3 linked regions of the Drosophila melanogaster genome follow. Changing the gene in region 2 together with the main gene of any one other region gives a genetic interaction. Each region holds a gene or a part of one and is shown on either strand. Other genes may lie near its edges.

Evidence for each region.
Region 1: of Pph13 (region 2) and gl, changing one suppresses a phenotype caused by changing the other (phenotypic suppression), as found in Drosophila melanogaster (one study listed by BioGRID).
Region 3: of Pph13 (region 2) and oc, changing one enhances a phenotype caused by changing the other (phenotypic enhancement), as found in Drosophila melanogaster (one study listed by BioGRID).

The regions. Positions count from the first base shown.
Region 1 is NT_033777.3:18,367,389-18,374,466, forward strand, and holds gl (glass), read right to left. Parts: upstream 5,351-7,078; 5' UTR 5,129-5,350; intron 4,482-5,128; 5' UTR 4,391-4,481; coding exon 4,345-4,390; intron 4,062-4,344; coding exon 3,931-4,061; intron 3,448-3,930; coding exon 1,955-3,447; coding exon of another isoform or gene 1,951-1,954; exon of another isoform or gene 1,559-1,950; coding exon 1,414-1,558; coding exon of another isoform or gene 1,189-1,413; 3' UTR 539-1,188; downstream 1-538. Other genes in the region: Nup43 (nucleoporin 43kD), read left to right, coding at 1-473. UniProt on the Drosophila melanogaster protein: Transcription factor required for gene expression specific to photoreceptor cells.
Region 2 is NT_033779.5:575,573-580,059, reverse strand, and holds Pph13 (PvuII-PstI homology 13), read right to left. Parts: upstream 2,575-4,487; 5' UTR 2,068-2,574; coding exon 2,027-2,067; intron 1,906-2,026; coding exon 1,640-1,905; intron 1,577-1,639; coding exon 810-1,576; 3' UTR 511-809; downstream 1-510. Other genes in the region: Ptth (prothoracicotropic hormone), read left to right, coding at 3,460-3,546, 3,656-3,979, 4,038-4,283.
Region 3 is NC_004354.4:8,647,644-8,652,673, forward strand, and holds the start of oc (ocelliless), read right to left. Parts: upstream 3,039-5,030; 5' UTR 2,732-3,038; exon of another isoform or gene 2,451-2,731; intron 1-2,450. UniProt on the Drosophila melanogaster protein: Transcriptional regulator involved in pattern formation and cell determination in the embryonic CNS and larval imaginal disks.

The sequences.
Region 1 (7,078 bases), on a different chromosome or scaffold from region 2:
CTGAAGCGCAGCCGAAGACCACCTTTATGGTGGCCTCCCAGGATGACAAGTCGAACTTTGTCTCGTCCCTTGCCAAGCATCCGATGCAGCAACATATTTTACTTTGCGGCAGCGAAGAGGGTTCCATAACCGTCTGGGATATGCGAAACCTCAGTTATCCCGCCTCCTATCTCAGCGCTCACAAAAGTCCCATCAACGAGATAGGCTTCCATCAAAAGGATCCCAGCAAACTGTTCACCGCCGCAGAAGGTGGCGAGGTGTGGATGTGGTCAGAGAACAAAGTTCTCGGGTGCGACTATAACAAAGACGGACACAGCCCCTGGTTGTCTGGCGATCGTGTTCGCTCCCTGGTCGATGTGGAGGGAGTGCTGAGTAATGTTCGCAAGTCCATCAACTCCTTCGATGTGCATGGAAGTCGTCTGGTCTGCGGAGGCGACACAGAAGCCGTTTACCTAGTTGATAATATTGTTTAAATGTCAAGCCTTTTGAATTCCTTACCTAAATTATATAATATTTCAATTGTTGAAATCAATTAGTTACTGTATTTAATTTTCGTATATTTATTATTTTCTTTATATACTCCAAAATTGGCTTAGATCAAAGCACCTGTCTTACATCTACGTCTAGTTTAAGCTTAGGACTCTATATTCGTATACAGGTGTTTATGGGTTTAATGCCTTGGCAATTCCAATTTAAATATTCTCGTTTTGGGTGCTGCTGTGTTGTTTGGTCTTATGATTCATACTCATATCCGTCTTAAATCCTATTTCGTTGGCTAATTTGGAATAGATTTATGCGTGTTTTGAACTACCTTATTTAATGGATGAACTAACTTGGATTCAATGCATATTAGGCTAAGCGAATATAATAAATATAGTATGTATAAGTATGTACAGTGCAGCTCTTAGGCCTACTTTTGTTCGATTCTCCGCGATTCCTCAGATTTGTATTGTTTGAGCATTTTTAACTGCATTTGGATGCGGATTTGGGTTATGAGTATTATTACATCGTTATGTTCAATTAGGATTTCAATTTAACACGAACCCAAATTATTTTTCTACAGCAATGTTGAGTATGGCATATACATTATTGTATTTATCAGCGATAGAGTGACTATCCCCGTATAATTCACTGAGTGGTCCTCCTTTAAGGTTTCTTATCCAGATGGGATCCTCCAGATTTTAGTCCCTAGTAGAATCGTTCGAACTTGGGCGCCTTGTTGAGTGCGCAGAAATAATACCCTGAATAGTTTTGTGTGGCTCCGGGTGGAGTATAATCGCCGATGCTGTAGTTCCCGTAGTCGTAGTTACCCATGTGGGCGTGGTGATGGTGATGGGCGTGGTGCTGGTGGTGCATGTGGTGGGTGTGCGGGGGGTGGTAATGCTGGAAACCTCCTGCACTCCTTGGCTTTTGTCATGTGAGCAGGCTGTTGCCACCACCAACTCCGCTGCCGGTGGAGGACTCTCCACCAACTCCGGTTGCCCCATTGCTGCCATTGCTGCTGTTGTTGTTGCCGTGGACGCGCATGTGCCGATTCAAGTTCCCCGACTGCGAAAATCTGTGGACACCAAAAAAGCAATTAACTCGATGTATAACGTTCCAGGACTGCTCTTTGGGGGCCTAAGCCTTTTTTAAGGGGTAATTTTCATCTTTAGCATTACATTTGAATAAACAATTATTATTTCATTTAATTTCAGTTCTTTAGTTGAAGTTGAAAATCTTACGAAAATGCATGAATGAAAATGAATGATGCATATTATCTTTGGTTTTCCTTTTTTTTAAGCTTGCAACAGTCTCAGTTTTGTTCAAGTTGTTAGTTTTATATTGAAACGATAGAAATTATTAAACTATCTTTAAAGCTTTAAGGGTTTACGTAAAAGTAAAAGCAAAACCATTTTCGTTCGTTTAGGAATGAGGAAGGACGGTGTAAGTAAATCCCCCATCCCGGACTCACCTGAGCAGGCAGAGCTTGCACTGGTAGGGCTTCTCGCCACTGTGGATTCGCAGGTGCTTGGTGAGGGTGCTGCTGTCCGAGAAGGACTTCTTGCACGAGGAGCAGCGGTACGGCCGCTCGCCGGAGTGGGTGCGCATGTGCGTGGTGACACTGGAACTCTGCGAGAATCTCCGGTCGCAGATGGGGCAGCGGAACGGCTTCTGGCCGGTGTGTGTGCGTACGTGAGCCGTCAGGTTGGCTGCCTGCGAGAAGCTCTTGTTGCAGTCGGGGCATCGATAGGGTCTTTCGCCGGAATGGGTCCGCAGATGGGTCTTGAGCGTGCTGGGCCGGGCATATGTCTTTCCGCACAACCGGCATAGATTGGGTTTCATCTCGCCGCCACTGCTGCCCTCATCGCCGTCCAGATCCTCGTTGCTATCCTCCTCGTCCTCGAAGGCGGATAGACTTAAGCCCAGGGCGGCTGCCTGATAGCTGGTGGGACTTTTGTGGGGCGGTGTGTATCCCTGATTGCCCACCCCCGTGGGATAGTAGCCAGCCAAAGAGGAGTTGGCCGGCGGCGATGGCGACTCCTTTTCGCCCACCGTCAGCGGTGGCAGGGCACCCAGACCCGTGGGAGCCGGTGCCCGAAAATCCGCTGTAAAGGAATATGTGGCCGAGGCAGGATAGTGACCGGGACTCAGCAGCGGTGGGTATAGCACATTTACCGCCGCTGCTGCTGCTGCCGCCGAGGTGGAGTTACTGGGTGGCGTCCAGTTCATCTGGGAGCACTGCATTGGCACGCCGCCTGCATCACCGGCACCGTAGCCATGGTGCATGGTCATGTTCATGCTGACGTTCACGCTCATGCTGGGATACATGGCTGCCGCCGGAGGAGGAGGTGGTGCGGCCGTTCCAGCACTGGTTTCATAGTAGCAACTGGCAGCGTTGGCCACTCCTCCGGCACTACCATTACTGCCGATATTGTTGCCACCACTGCTTTGGAGGAGAGAGTTGCCTACGTGCGATGCCTGGACTTGGGATTGCTGGTGCTGGTGCTGCTGGTGCTGCGAGTGCATCTGGCCATGATTGTGGGAGTTCGGCGAAATGAGCATCTGGTGCGGATGCACTGTGTAGGAGAGTGAGGCGGCCTGGTGCGGATTGCCGGCGGCAAAGTTGTAGGAAGCGCCGCAGGGCGAGAATGGGAACAGGCTGGGCAGCGGATCGATGTCCAGCGGCGGTAGGCCGGGAAATGTGGAAGCCATCTCGTCGGTGCTCCAGTAGCCGTGATTACCCGAGGAGCCTCCTCCGGCACCGTTGTTGCTGCTCCCGTTGCCGCTGCTCGCCGGTGGTGTCGTGCTGATCTGGATGTGGCCGCCACCGATGCCCACGCCCACTCCAATCGTGGGATCGAAACAGCCGCCGCAGTCGAAGTCGCTGCTGGTGAGCGAGGAGATGGGCAGGGCGGTGCTGCCCTGGCAGGATAGGCAGCCGACGCAGGAAGCGGCGCACTCTTGCTGCACGAGCGAAAACGGAAATGGAGATTGAGACCGGTTATGAAATACATTCAGTTAGTACTAATACGTAACTAAGACAAAATAATTAGTTAGTTAGTGGAAACATTTAGTAAATTTTAACTATTTTTACATTCTAATACTGACTTCTGAGGAGAGTTTAATTGTATTACATATGGAAGGAATTTCTAAGCTATTAAACTTCCCAATAGATAAAATCGTATGGGTTAAAAATGTAATAGATTACTTTAAAAACGAAAATGATAAACTTCTTAGTACAAAACTGTCTGATTTTTCAGTTACCGATATAGCAAATTAAAATAACCACAATTTCGGTATTGGGTTCTATTTCCTGGTTATAAAATTTAAATAGTTCAGGTATATCACAGATTTCAGCTAAGTTCTTTCCACGAAACAAGCACAACCGAACGCTCGAAGATTTCCGGAGATATTGAGGCGAAATCGAAAAAGGATTCCAGGACTCACCTGAGGGCTGTCCAGCGCCAGGCCGAACAGGGGATTGTTGGGCACATAGCCCGTCTCTGGTTCCACAGGACCGCCGTTTGAGACATCGCACGATATGTACATAGCTCCACCCTCTTGATCTTCCAGGGAATCTGCGCAGCCAAAAAAAAAAAAAAAAGAACAGCATGAAAATCACTGGAAGTACGCCAGAGATGCTCGCCAGCAGCGCGTATCTCATGGATACATTTTTGCTCCCATGACAACCACTGTGCGCACTAGCTCCGCCCCTCGAGACACACACAGACACACACAAATACACAAATCGAGAGACCGCCATTTGCTTTGCTCTCTCGACTCGCGACTTTCCATCCGTGTATCGCCATACAATATGCTGTATCTGCATATCTGTGCAATGGTGCTTCCGATTTCACTCACCCAGAATTGTGTTCAGGAGTTTGGAACCCTTATATAACAATCCCATGACATGACTCCACTTCTGGAACGTTTGGGCTCAGCAGTCGCGCATTTGTTCCTGCTTTTCCTACGCTTCATCTTGATGCGTTAATTTCCAACTGCAAGGCGATGACGGAACATTATTGGTAAATTCTAATTAAGATTCACTTTCTATTCATTTATTCAAATCTATTATTCAATTTATTATTTATTCAATCAAATACCAATATCAAATCTAATCTTCATATATTTTCAATAAAGTGTTAATAAATTCAGTTTTAAATAAAGTTCGACAGCTAATCAGAAATTAGATACACAATATGACAGATTCTTCACCTCTAAATTTAAAAGAGATATCGAATTATAGATCGCTCTTATGACGAAGATGGATTTCAATTCGATTGTTTCATTATTGTTAGGACTAAAAAATTATACTAAAATTACAATAACTTTCATTTTGAAAGAAACAAAACGTTAAAATTGCTATTTAACTAATTTATGCATGCAAATCAAAGTAAATTTTTGTTTTTCTTTTTAATGAGATCAAAGCTATGATATTGTTAAATTGATAAAATCTTCTTAGTGAATTGATTTTTTCGATCTTAGCCAAAACATTGTTAGGACATTTTAATTAGCTATTTGCAGTTATTAGGTTTTATTTCAAATACATTAGTTGTATTCCATTTTTTCTTTCTTCTTTTTTATTGCAGATTTAATATTGTTTATTCCGTTCTTTATTCACATATGCACTCTTAATCGTTTTCACCTTCTGAATAGATCCACAAATGGCATGATACCAAGATCACCAATAGAATTTCAACGTTTTCTTGCAAAATATGTTTGTAACTTTTTTTTCGAAGACTCGGTTTTAAGTAGTAACACACGATCGTTGTTTTCCGATTTGAATTTTATGCGTTTTCAGTTTTCGATTTTTCGAGTGCGGGGCAAGAAGCGACTTTTGGCGAGGAGCATAAGACGGCGACTAATTGTCAGTTGCAGTTCGGTTCGAGCCACCTCGGCCCAAAATCGACTGATATATCGGATTGGCAGAGCGGCAGCAAAGCGACAACCGACAACTACAGAGGAAGCAGCAGGGCGCAAAAAACATACTCACTTAATTATAAACAAGCGACAAAAGGGCGCAAAAGACAACGGCAACAACAATCTCGCTCGCACTCACACTTTGGTCGGCTATAATGACACAAGTACGCAGCACTACACACTCGAGACCCTTGCTGAAAGCACCCCTCCTCCAATACCAAACCCATACCATACCATACCCACACCAAGCCATCCCGCACTATATCCCATGCCCACTCCTGAGATTCCATCCATCCACCACCACAACAACGCTGCCGTCATCGTTGTTGGCCAACCAATGCGCTCCGTCTGCCGGCTTTTGCGGCTACTACCCACCCCTCTGCTGCTTCCACGTCCACATCCTCATCCAAATCCAAAGTCACCCTCCTCCGCCTTCGCCTTCGCCTCCATATCCGACTCCTCCGCTGCCGATCCCGCCCAGTCCGAGTTTCAGGCCCATTCATACGTGGCCAGCTACATCGGCAGCAGTTTTCAGTAGTTTTTATTTGTCACCCAATATCTTACAGCTCGACACCAGATACCAACGAGGCGGGGAGAAAAAAGAGTACACTTCGAGAAATAATCGCTAGCAAGCAGTTCTAGTGCTCTAGAATGTTACACTTCAAAATCGATGGCCGTTCAAATAACGTTGTTTTCAATTCACAAACAAGTATCCTCACTTTATTTGTTGAAAAGAAGATATGAAGTTCCTTTTCCTTAAAATCTATAGATGCACAACCGCAGATTGTCGCTAAATTCTTAAGAGGACATCAAATCACTTGAGACTATTTGATATGCTTGTGATTAGTGAATATTTTCGATATATAACATATTATTTACTTTCTTAAAATAAAGGTATTGTAATTTTATTACATAATAAACAAAAAGTACTATAGGGATTATTAATAAACAATGTAATTGGTATGATATAAATATGATACAAGAAGTATTGAAAATAAAGTAATTCACATATTAAAATGGGAATTTTCTGGCAGGGTCTCTGATGAGGGAGGGACAGTTGCTACGGACTTGCCAACCATTGATCGTCTTCGTCGGCATTCTGCTTCCTCTTCGCTCCATTGTTTTGTGGTTAAGTGAGGCAGTCCATCGGCCAAGTCGGCCGGCAACCCCCTGACTGCTTCTGTAGCTTGTATCTGCGTATCTGGCCGTGTGTATCTGCTTCTGTTGCGTGTATCTTTGTATCTCTATCTCCGGCGCTGATTCTCAATTGTAGCCCGGCCAATGACGACTGCCAATCGATCGATGCTCTTGTCGCCGGGCCGACAATCGTGAATAGTTTGAATGTTATTTGATAGTTCGATTTGTGGTCGCAGCAGAAAAAGCAAGGAATAAATCGCAGGCCAGATGGAAAAGCAAATGGAAATTATGAAATAGATGTGTTAAGCCCAACTCGACTATATTTAGCTAAGATATATTATAGATATAATGCTATGAAGAGATCCCAATTCGGATCGATCACCTGGTTCACACGCCCGAAATCGAATTCACCGCCAATTGGCAAAATCAGTTGAGTGCAAAGGCTTGCAGTGATCGCATACGTATCGAGCTATATCCCCCATATCACCTTACCTTATCGATGGGAATTTCAGGTCAAGCCCAGCCAGCGTCGTGTGTG
Region 2 (4,487 bases):
AGAACTAACTGACAATTTCATTAAATTTCACCATATTTATCATCTCTGCTGTGAGCTTTTCACTTAATGGAGCGTAGGAGTTGTTCGTTGAGGATGCTTAGGATCAGGAGCTACAGAAATCCTCGTTAATAGGAGTAAATGGAAATTACAGCCAACCAGTGGGCAGGTCAGGGAGGAGCGTGGAGCGGTCTTTGGTAATTGTTAAAAAGCAAAGCAAATGTTATTGCCGAACAAACAGCACTGGAAGCCGAAATCCATTCAAATCGCACAACTAGCTTGCCTCTAATCCGAGCCACAAATAAGGCGTGTGCAGAGGGTAGGGGACGTGGCAGGGGCGTAGGGGGGGGGGGTTCCTTTGTTTGGCACACACATGCGGAATCCATAGAAGCTATGGCTGAGCCTGGCCAGAAAAGGTACCCGTGCTCGTAGTCAAGGACCCGTTCCGTTCCGTTTCGTTTCGATTCGATTCGAATGTTTCGAAATTCACAAATGTACACTACGAAAAATATTCTTTTTCAACAATTCTCGTTGTTTTCAAATGTTATAAACTTACAGGTTCTCTTTATGTAAACCACTTTGCTATTTATCAAGACACATTTCCAGGACTAAAGTAATACAACTTCAGATAAACTAGTATTTAGTACTAAAATTTTTGTAAGTTAACCATCCAAATATTTGTAGTCAAGTGTGGCGACCTTGTTGGGTCTTGAACTTAGACATTAACATTGACTAGAAAACAAGAATATAACTAGAGCAGGTTTCGCACTTCAGTTTACCGCTGAGAAACTGAGAATTCGCCTAAGTTGGATTCACATGACATCGCCAGTGATGACACCACCGCCCACTGGGCCGCCCTCATGCTGGTGATGATGCAGTTGCTCCACGAGATCAGCGATTCCTTCCACGCCTATGCTCAAAGAGGGCAGCGACTTGTCCAGCACCAAAAGAGAGGGAGGCGACTTGGGCTCACCCTCTTCCATGCCAAAGGAGGACATGCCAATCCCGTCCAGGCACAGTTCATTGGATGATCCGACCAGCTGGGAGTGACCGCCGTAGGCCTGCATCTGGGACTGCTCCATGCTCAGAATGCAGTCCGCCTTGAAGCTGTCGATCGTGAACTGGTCCACGTCCACGCTGAGAAACTTCATCTCGTCGTAGGCGGAGGAGCCATCGGTCATGTCCAAACTCAATGAGGCGGCAAACTCAAGCCCCGGATGAAGCTGGGGATTGTGCTGCTCCTGCTGGTGCTGCTGCTGCTGCTGCTGGTGATGACTCGAACTCCCGGCGTGAATCGGATCGGATGCATGCTGTTGAGGCGGGTGCTGCTGGAGCTGATTGTCGGAGTCCATCTGCGGGTGTGTCTGCGCTTGCGTTTGCGGAGGATATGTGGACCACTCCATGGAGAGGCCACTGCCACCCCGCTCCAGTCCCAAGTGGTCAATGTTGAGGTTGAGAAATATATTCGGTGACAGCCTAGAGGGCGACATGGCCCCCGTGCCGTAGGAGGCCTTAAGTTCGTTATCAAGGGAGTTCGAGGATTGCGGTGGGGTGTCCGGCAATAGAGTTCCACCGCCGCCTGAAATCAATATGGGTCATTACTAGCGATGGGTTGATAGGTAACAGAGATATCCTTTCTTACCCAGCGCACTATCCAGTTGGCCCAGGACGGCGCTGTCGTCGTAGGACACGTCGAGATCCAACGCACCCTCCTTATAATCTCCGCCAAGCCCACCGATCTTCTCCTGCTTGCGCCACTTGGCCCGCCGGTTCTGGAACCACACCTGCACCCTCGCCTCCGTCAAATCGATCCTCACGGCCAGCTCCTCTCGGAAAAACACGTCCGGATAGTGTGTCCGCTGGAACGCCCTTTCCAGCTCCTGCAGTTGCAGTGTGTTAAATGTGGTTCTGCGGATCATTAGGAAAACTAGTGTTAGTGCACCTATAGCTTTAGTAGATACTTATGAAACTAGTCCAGTTTTTGGATTTATACCGCGATATATGTACATTTCGAATGTATCTGCTATACCTGTATCTCCGCTGCTTGCGCTTCATTGTGCCTTTGTCCATGCGAATCCTGAGCTTCCTGTTGGTGAACGTTGACGTTGGCGGAGTGGGTGGCGAGTAGTGGCCACTGAGGTGTGGATCCCGCTCAATCTCAATATCTCCCTCAGCGAGGATGGGGCTCTTCAAGCGCGTCGTGACATAGTCGCCGTGTGTTTTTCTATTTTTTAACGATTTTCGTCGACACTTCGAGGGCTTCGCGTCGCTGCTTCTTCTCGCTTTTCCGCTTCGACAAATTCCACGGCGGAAAAACTGCACAACAACAACGGCGAAAGCACGGATGAAGTCTTTGGAGACAGGCAGCTGCGGAGCTCAGCATAAGTCGCCCACCAGCGGAATCTGCATCTCCTCCGCTCCTGGTTTTTTATTCTGATTCCGATTCCAAGTCCCGACTTCCCTTGCTCGAACCTATGTAGCTGCTGATGGCTAAGCGATGTCAGATTGTCCAGCTGTGCATGTCCAACCTTGTGGCACGGGCACTGTTCTTGCCTCGACGACGCGAATTCGACTGAGGAGGATTTTGGATTTCCACGGGGAACAGTGACAGTGCGTGCTGTCCGTCGACAGAAGCCGTAGAAGTCGACCACAGTCCACTGGCACTCGCACACTCGCGGGCTCCCTACGAACAGGGGTATATACTATGTGCCTAAGAGGTCTGACCCGGTCTAGCCTCTTGGACAGTCGTTCTAGCCGGGCTTGTTATGCCAGTGGCGGTGCTCCTCACCCAAACTGGCCCAAGTGGGAGACATAGTGAGCTCATAATTTATGGCAACTCATGGTGCCTTCGGAGGATGTGCATAGCTGGAAAATGTTTAAGAATTCTACATAAGACTATAAACCACTATTTTTACCATTCATCTGCCTTTGCACATTATAAAAACAATATTCTTTAAACAAGACCATGAAACGGAAATGTCATCCATTTGGGGGAAATCCGACAAGTAAAATACAATCGGAATTGCATTTCCCACAGCTCCTCACTCAAAAGTATGCTATGGAAAAAGTTTCGGAGCCGTTTCGGAAACCAAAAATCCAGAAACCCACCCTGGTCAACGTTATCGATGGGAGGAGATCGGATTGCCCTTTGCCTCTGCACACATGTCTGGGTCAGTGGGCTTCTTTTGGCTACTCCCACCGCCCAAAGTTCTCCACCTCTGCCGGCACTTGAGGCCTTAAAGCCATTTCCCCCATTGAAGCATTGAAAGCAGCAGAGGAGTATAAATAGCCGAGGGACTCAACCCCATCAGCCGGGCCACTTGAGCTTGGCATGGCTTGCCATTGTTGTGGTGTCAACTGTGGAGTCCATTGTTCCATCCTGTCCAGGTGACGAACCGTAATGGATGCTGCTGCTCTCATCTCTGGCACAAAAGGTAATCCGAGAGGCGGCTTTTGTCCTAAATGGATATAAAAGTATGGCGACTCCTTGGCCAGAGCTGCAGAAGGAGTACAGCGCTGGTCAGGCACAGATCGAGCATGATGCCGTGGGTAAGTTTCATCTGGATGAGAGCCGAAAGATATAGAAACGAAATTACAAAGGAGGGCGCACAAGGATATACTCCGAACTGAATTCATTTTAAAACCCTTCCGTTCCAAGTTGCCCATTTCCATTATGGCAATGGCGCTGCTTAGCCTGACAAATAAAGGAATCGCCAGTCAGTACGCCAGCGATGAAGGTTTGGACGAGATGGTGGGTCTAAGGAGTCTGGAACACCGCGCGGAGGAGCAGCAGCCCGATCGCAGTACATCGAAAATGCTCAGTGCCCTATTCGGATTCAGTCCCAGCACTCCACATCCCACAGAGATGGCGATGGTCATGCCCCATCAGCTGCCGCCCATGTACTATAACGATTTCTATGAGGATCTGGTGACCACCAAACGCAATGATGTCCATTCCGCAGGCTGCGACTGCAAAGTTACGGTTCGTTGGGATACCATTCAGCCGCGTCAGATGTTTATAATTATTTTGTTATTCCCAGAATGAGCTCGTGGATCTGGGTGGTCTGCACTTCCCTCGCTTTCTGATGAATGCCGTTTGCGAATCGGGCGCTGGTCGGGATCTGGCCAAGTGCTCGCATGGATCCAATTGCAGGCCACTGGAATATAAGGTAAAGGTCCTGGCACAGACCTCTCAGTCCGATCACCCCTATTCGTGGATGAACAAGGATCAACCTTGGCAGTTCAAAACGGTCACCGTAACTGCCGGCTGCTTCTGCACAAAGTGATTGAAAGGATGTGAGCAACTATCGTGAATGTGAATTAATTGTATATTAAAGCGCCAAAAAGACGTCAAAGTTGCTTTATTGTGGGAGAGATTCGATATGAAACAGATTGTTATTTTTAAGGCATTCTTTTGATTCTTATATGTAGCTTAATGTTCATGTTTGAGCTTTCTCTTAGATAATTTGTCTAGGATATGTCGTGGATGC
Region 3 (5,030 bases), on a different chromosome or scaffold from region 2:
AAAAATACAAAAAAAAAATATATTGTACATATCAATAATAGACTAATAGAGTAAAGAGCTCCAGTCGAATCGCAGCACAAACAAAAACAGCAAGAAAAACAACGACAGCGGCTAGAAAAACTTATTATTTGACGCATTGTCAATGTGATCTTGATAAGTCGAAACTGGAAATGGAACCTGAAGACTGAAAACTGAAAACTGAAAAAAAAAATAAACCTCCGTCTGAGTGATTTCTATTTAAATGGCTTTGTCAACGAAATTTGAGAAGCGAATAGCAACAACACCGCCAGTATCGCGTAATGAGCAAAGAGTGAAGAGAGATAAAAATTAATAATACAAATAATTGGTAGGCAAAAAAAAAAATTGGGAGAAAAAAAGTCAGTAAGTGCGTCCAAGTCCAAGAAACGCTGGATGAAATGAAATAAACTGAAACGAAATGAAACCTCACTTAAGGCGAGGCGACGCCACAAGAGATTGACAAAAGATGACGACAAAACAAAAAAAAAAAAAAGGCAACACCCGATCTCCCAGGTACGAGCATATATATCCATACCCATGCCAAGTGTGTGGGAGTTCGAGTTGATCGCAACCAAACCGATCCGAAAGATTTGGGGCGTGCTAGGGAAGCGGAACAATGGATACCGTTTCACAGTGAGCGAAAATATGCCCACATATTAAAATATAACTCAAAAACCACTATGGAATAGGCTAGAACTACTAGTATTGTTCAATACTTAATCAATAGTACAAAATATGGAATGCTAACATATTGATAAATACTATTAGTTGTAATATCTATCACATCATGTCCCACAAGCATATCGAACCAACGTACTTCCAATGAATTCTTGATCTAATGTTTAGCTATGCCATTGCTATGTGAATCTACAACTTCGAGTACTTTTTTTTTCAGTGCTTCCTAGAGCGAAATTCACTTATTCGCTGAGCTTTATGGATATCCGCGATAAGGTATCAAATGTGTCGCGACGCGATCTCGGCGACTTTCAATTCACAATCGACAACGCTGGGCGGATGTTGTGAATGAATGAATTGGCATTGGAAGATTGGTACATTGAGGTATTGTGATACTATGGGGATCTAGGCAGGGCCAGCAAGCACAAGCGTGGGTGGGACCGAATAGATCCCAAGAGATCCCCACCAGCTTCACCAGCTACACCAACTGCACGAACTCCGTATCCGAATCTGAAGCCGAATCCGAATCCCATTCTCAACACTTTGATTCGAATGGAGAAAGACTATCGGAATGGGAGAAAAATGAATCGACTTGCATATTTAATATTCAGTTGCTTTATGTTAGAAAACCATATGCAAATTAATAATAAAGCAGAACAACAAAGTAGCCAGCGAGGAGTCAACGTATTATTCAGATATTTTAATTTATAGCCGCCGCTTTGAAATTAGACGATCCGATCGCTAACATCGGGAAGTGGGAATGTGGTGATGTGGGGATGTTGGGAATATGTGTGAATAATGTGACCCGAACGGGTCCGTCGGCTGTCTTCTATTGTATCTAGTATTGATTTTCTTGGGGTTTCTTCGCCGTTGGCCCTATCATTTTGTTAGCCTTTTTTCTATATCACATTTCTCGTATCGATTTGGTCGGCTCTTGCTGGCTTCTTTTTGTTTTGCCTAATTAGGGGAGGCGGCCTTAATATGCCCATTAAAATTATGAAAATCATAACGAATCTCCGAAACGCGCATTTTCTCACATTACGATCAGCACATTAGTCATAGGCGGAAATTTCCTGACCGAAACCAGATTTTTAAAAAAAAGGCTCCATCATATCACGAAGAGCTGAAGGAACTGAAACAAAGTTTCGGGCATGGAATAGGTAACTCTATTGTTGGACTTGGGAGTCCCCGAAATCAATGAATAGTATTCCAATTAAAGACTTCTAAGATCCATTGAATCTGAAGCTAAATAAAGACTAGTATATGTGGCAAAATAATATCGGTTGATTATAGCATTTGGAAGAACATTTTAACCTTGTAAATATATGTAGAAGTGTAAGTGAAAAACAAAAGATCTGTCAAGTTCGGCTAATCGAAAATAGTGAACCAAACATATTATAACATATCTCTAAAGTCTGAGCTTTATAATGAAGAATGAAGATTGGCTCAAGAATAAAGTTGAAGCGATAACGAAAAAGAAAATAATTAAGCTTTACAGCGTGTTAGATCTTTCAATATTATTCCAAGTTTAAAGAGTGTATTTCAAATATGTCATAGATAATGTAAGACTTGTGACCTAATATCTCTGCTAAATAAACAAGTTGATAAGAGTAATCCCTAAGATAGATTCCCGCTCCCCCAAAAACTACTTAGGTCTACAGATTCCCCATGTAATCCGTGCTTATCTCTCGGCTCCACATTCCTTGCTGGATATATAGATTGCTACCGATTTCTCGATATCGGCGGATCGCACTCACCGAAAAAAAAACACAAACAAAACTAGAAGCAAAACGGTGCTGTATTCCAATGGTGACTTGTTTTCGGATCCAACTACTATATGGTTATGGCATGAGTATATTTTACACATGCATATATATAAAGATATATATGTATATTTATATATATATAAATATTGTATTCCAGAGATGTATGTTTTTTGGGCGATGTTTATGGTTTAGCACTGGCAACACGGTAAAAAAACAGATTCTCGTCACTTGGCACTGCGTTATATCCAAAAGGATATATCTCTCTGTATTACTTAGTATTCTCCTCTGGGGCTCTTTGTTTCTCTATAGCTGTGTTAGCTATAGCTTCTCGTGTTGATATTTGTTTATTTGTGTTTGATTGGTTTAGTTTGCTTCGATTTGATTTGATTCGGTTTGGCGACGGCGAATTGATTGTTGTTATTGGCTTGCGCTGGTGCTTGCTTGCTTATCGGCGAACGCGGCGAGTGGCGAGAGCGATCGAACGAGCGGCGAACGGGGCGAATGAGCAACTGAGCAACTGGGCGACGGACGACGCACAAAAACAACCCGAGCGGCACGAAAGTTACTCTGGAAATGAATTGCGGTACACCTTCCACGGACGATGGCAGCGGCGGCAGCAGCGCAGCGAGCAGCGGGCAGAGCAAAAGTCGTTCGACCAGAGTCTGCGAAAAAAGAAAAACAACAAGAAAAAATGTTGGAAGAAGAAGCAGGAAAAAAACAACAAACAAACACCAGCGGTGGTGGAAACGAGAGGGAGAGCGAGTGAGTGCCTGCTTTTAGCAATGGCTGCCCGGCTCTCTACCGCGCGCCAGAGTGAGATAGCCGTAGTTTCGCTCCGTTCCAGTCGTTCAGTATTTCGCTCTCTCTCTCTCTCTCACTCTCTTGCGGCATCTCTCTCGCACGCCGCTTACAACCTGACTGAGTGGGAGCGAGACAACTGCTGGTGGTACCGTTTGCTGAGCAGCTGTATTTACCGCTGTGTTGTTGCTGCTGCGCGTGTGTGTGCGCGCGTGTATGAGCGTGTGTGTACGTTGCTGGTGTGCGTTTGAGTGTGGGACCACACCCCAAAAAAATTCAGTTCAACAACTTTGTTGTTGCCACAAGAGCAAAAAACGAGGAGCAAAAAATACATAGTCATAAAAGGAGGAAAAAAAAGCAACAACGTACCTTCGTATTTTTGCGCGGCAGCAATGAAATTTTAATGAAAACGACAAGACAGCGAAAACAACGCAAAAATTTGTTAGCTAACAGCGAAAGATAAGGAAACGGGGGTAGGTGGCGACGGGCGTTTAAAGGACGCTGGTCAGTACCGCTACTTTTGCTACTGCTGCTGCTACTGCTGCTACTGCTTCTTCTTTAGCTTCCTCCTCTTCTACTTCTGCGTCGCAAATTGCCATGCACACACAACACCAGCGGCGAAAGCGCGACAGGGATGGGGAGAGCCAGCCACTCACACTTGGCACGCCCCCTCTCTTTCGCCCCAATGGGCGGCCCCCATTGTTCAATTATCATTTACGCAAAGTGAGGCGAAAAGAATCGAAACTTAAGGTGGATTTGGGTTTAAAGTCTAGTTTGCTATTCGTGGGCTAAGAATTGCTCAAAAGAGGTCTTTAATAAATGATTTCAATAGATATAGCTATTATAATTATGATTTAGTTTTGCAAAGCGGTTTTGTTAGTTTTAATTTTCAACTAGCTTATAATTATTAATTAGCTTATTTATAAATTCTCTACCATGGCAGTCTAACTGTAAATGATATTTTCGAGCAACCAACACTTTTTGTGCCCAAACATTTTTTTCTGTTATATTTTTGCCTTGTAGCTGACGCAGGAATAAAAATTCGCAGAGTTGGGTGGTTTGGGGGAGCAGCGGAAAAAACCTTATCAAATTTTTATGACAATTTGAAATAGCTGACGACAGTTGTTTGGCCATCTCACTCGCACTAACGGCCCGCAGGTTTGGGCGGCGAGAAAATGTTGCACAAATATTTTATGGATTTTTCTTGTTGAAATTGCTGTGTGCTTATTATTTTTTTTTTATCCAGCTACCGCACTTTTCCCATTTCCAGGCGGGCAAATTAAATTGTTGCGGCTAATTGATGTGTAGATGAAACATGAGGCAATTACCCTTCGAGGGGAAAAGCTTAGCGCACAAATTGGGACTCGGACACAACGAACGGGAAATCTCGAAAAAAAAATTGTACAGAGAGCCCGAAATGAAATAAAACAAAAACCTAATTTTCATGAAAAATGTTGCGGGGAAATGTAAAATGTTTTTGGAGTAAAATTCACGGAGGCAAAAACTGCGCGCAAATGAAAAAGTTTTAGTTAGACAAAAACTGTAATTTACTTACACAATTTACAAATAGTTAATTTAAACTTTCAATAGGAAGTTTGTTTTTTTTTTCACTTCAATTTCAATTGTGAAAAACCAAAATTGAAATAAGACTTTAACAATTATAGGTCTTATCTTTTGGAGTATATGTAAGTAACTAACGCGTAAATTTCATTACATACGAATAAAAACTACAACTGCCAACATGAAAATTGTATCTTTTTTAGTTCGGCCTTT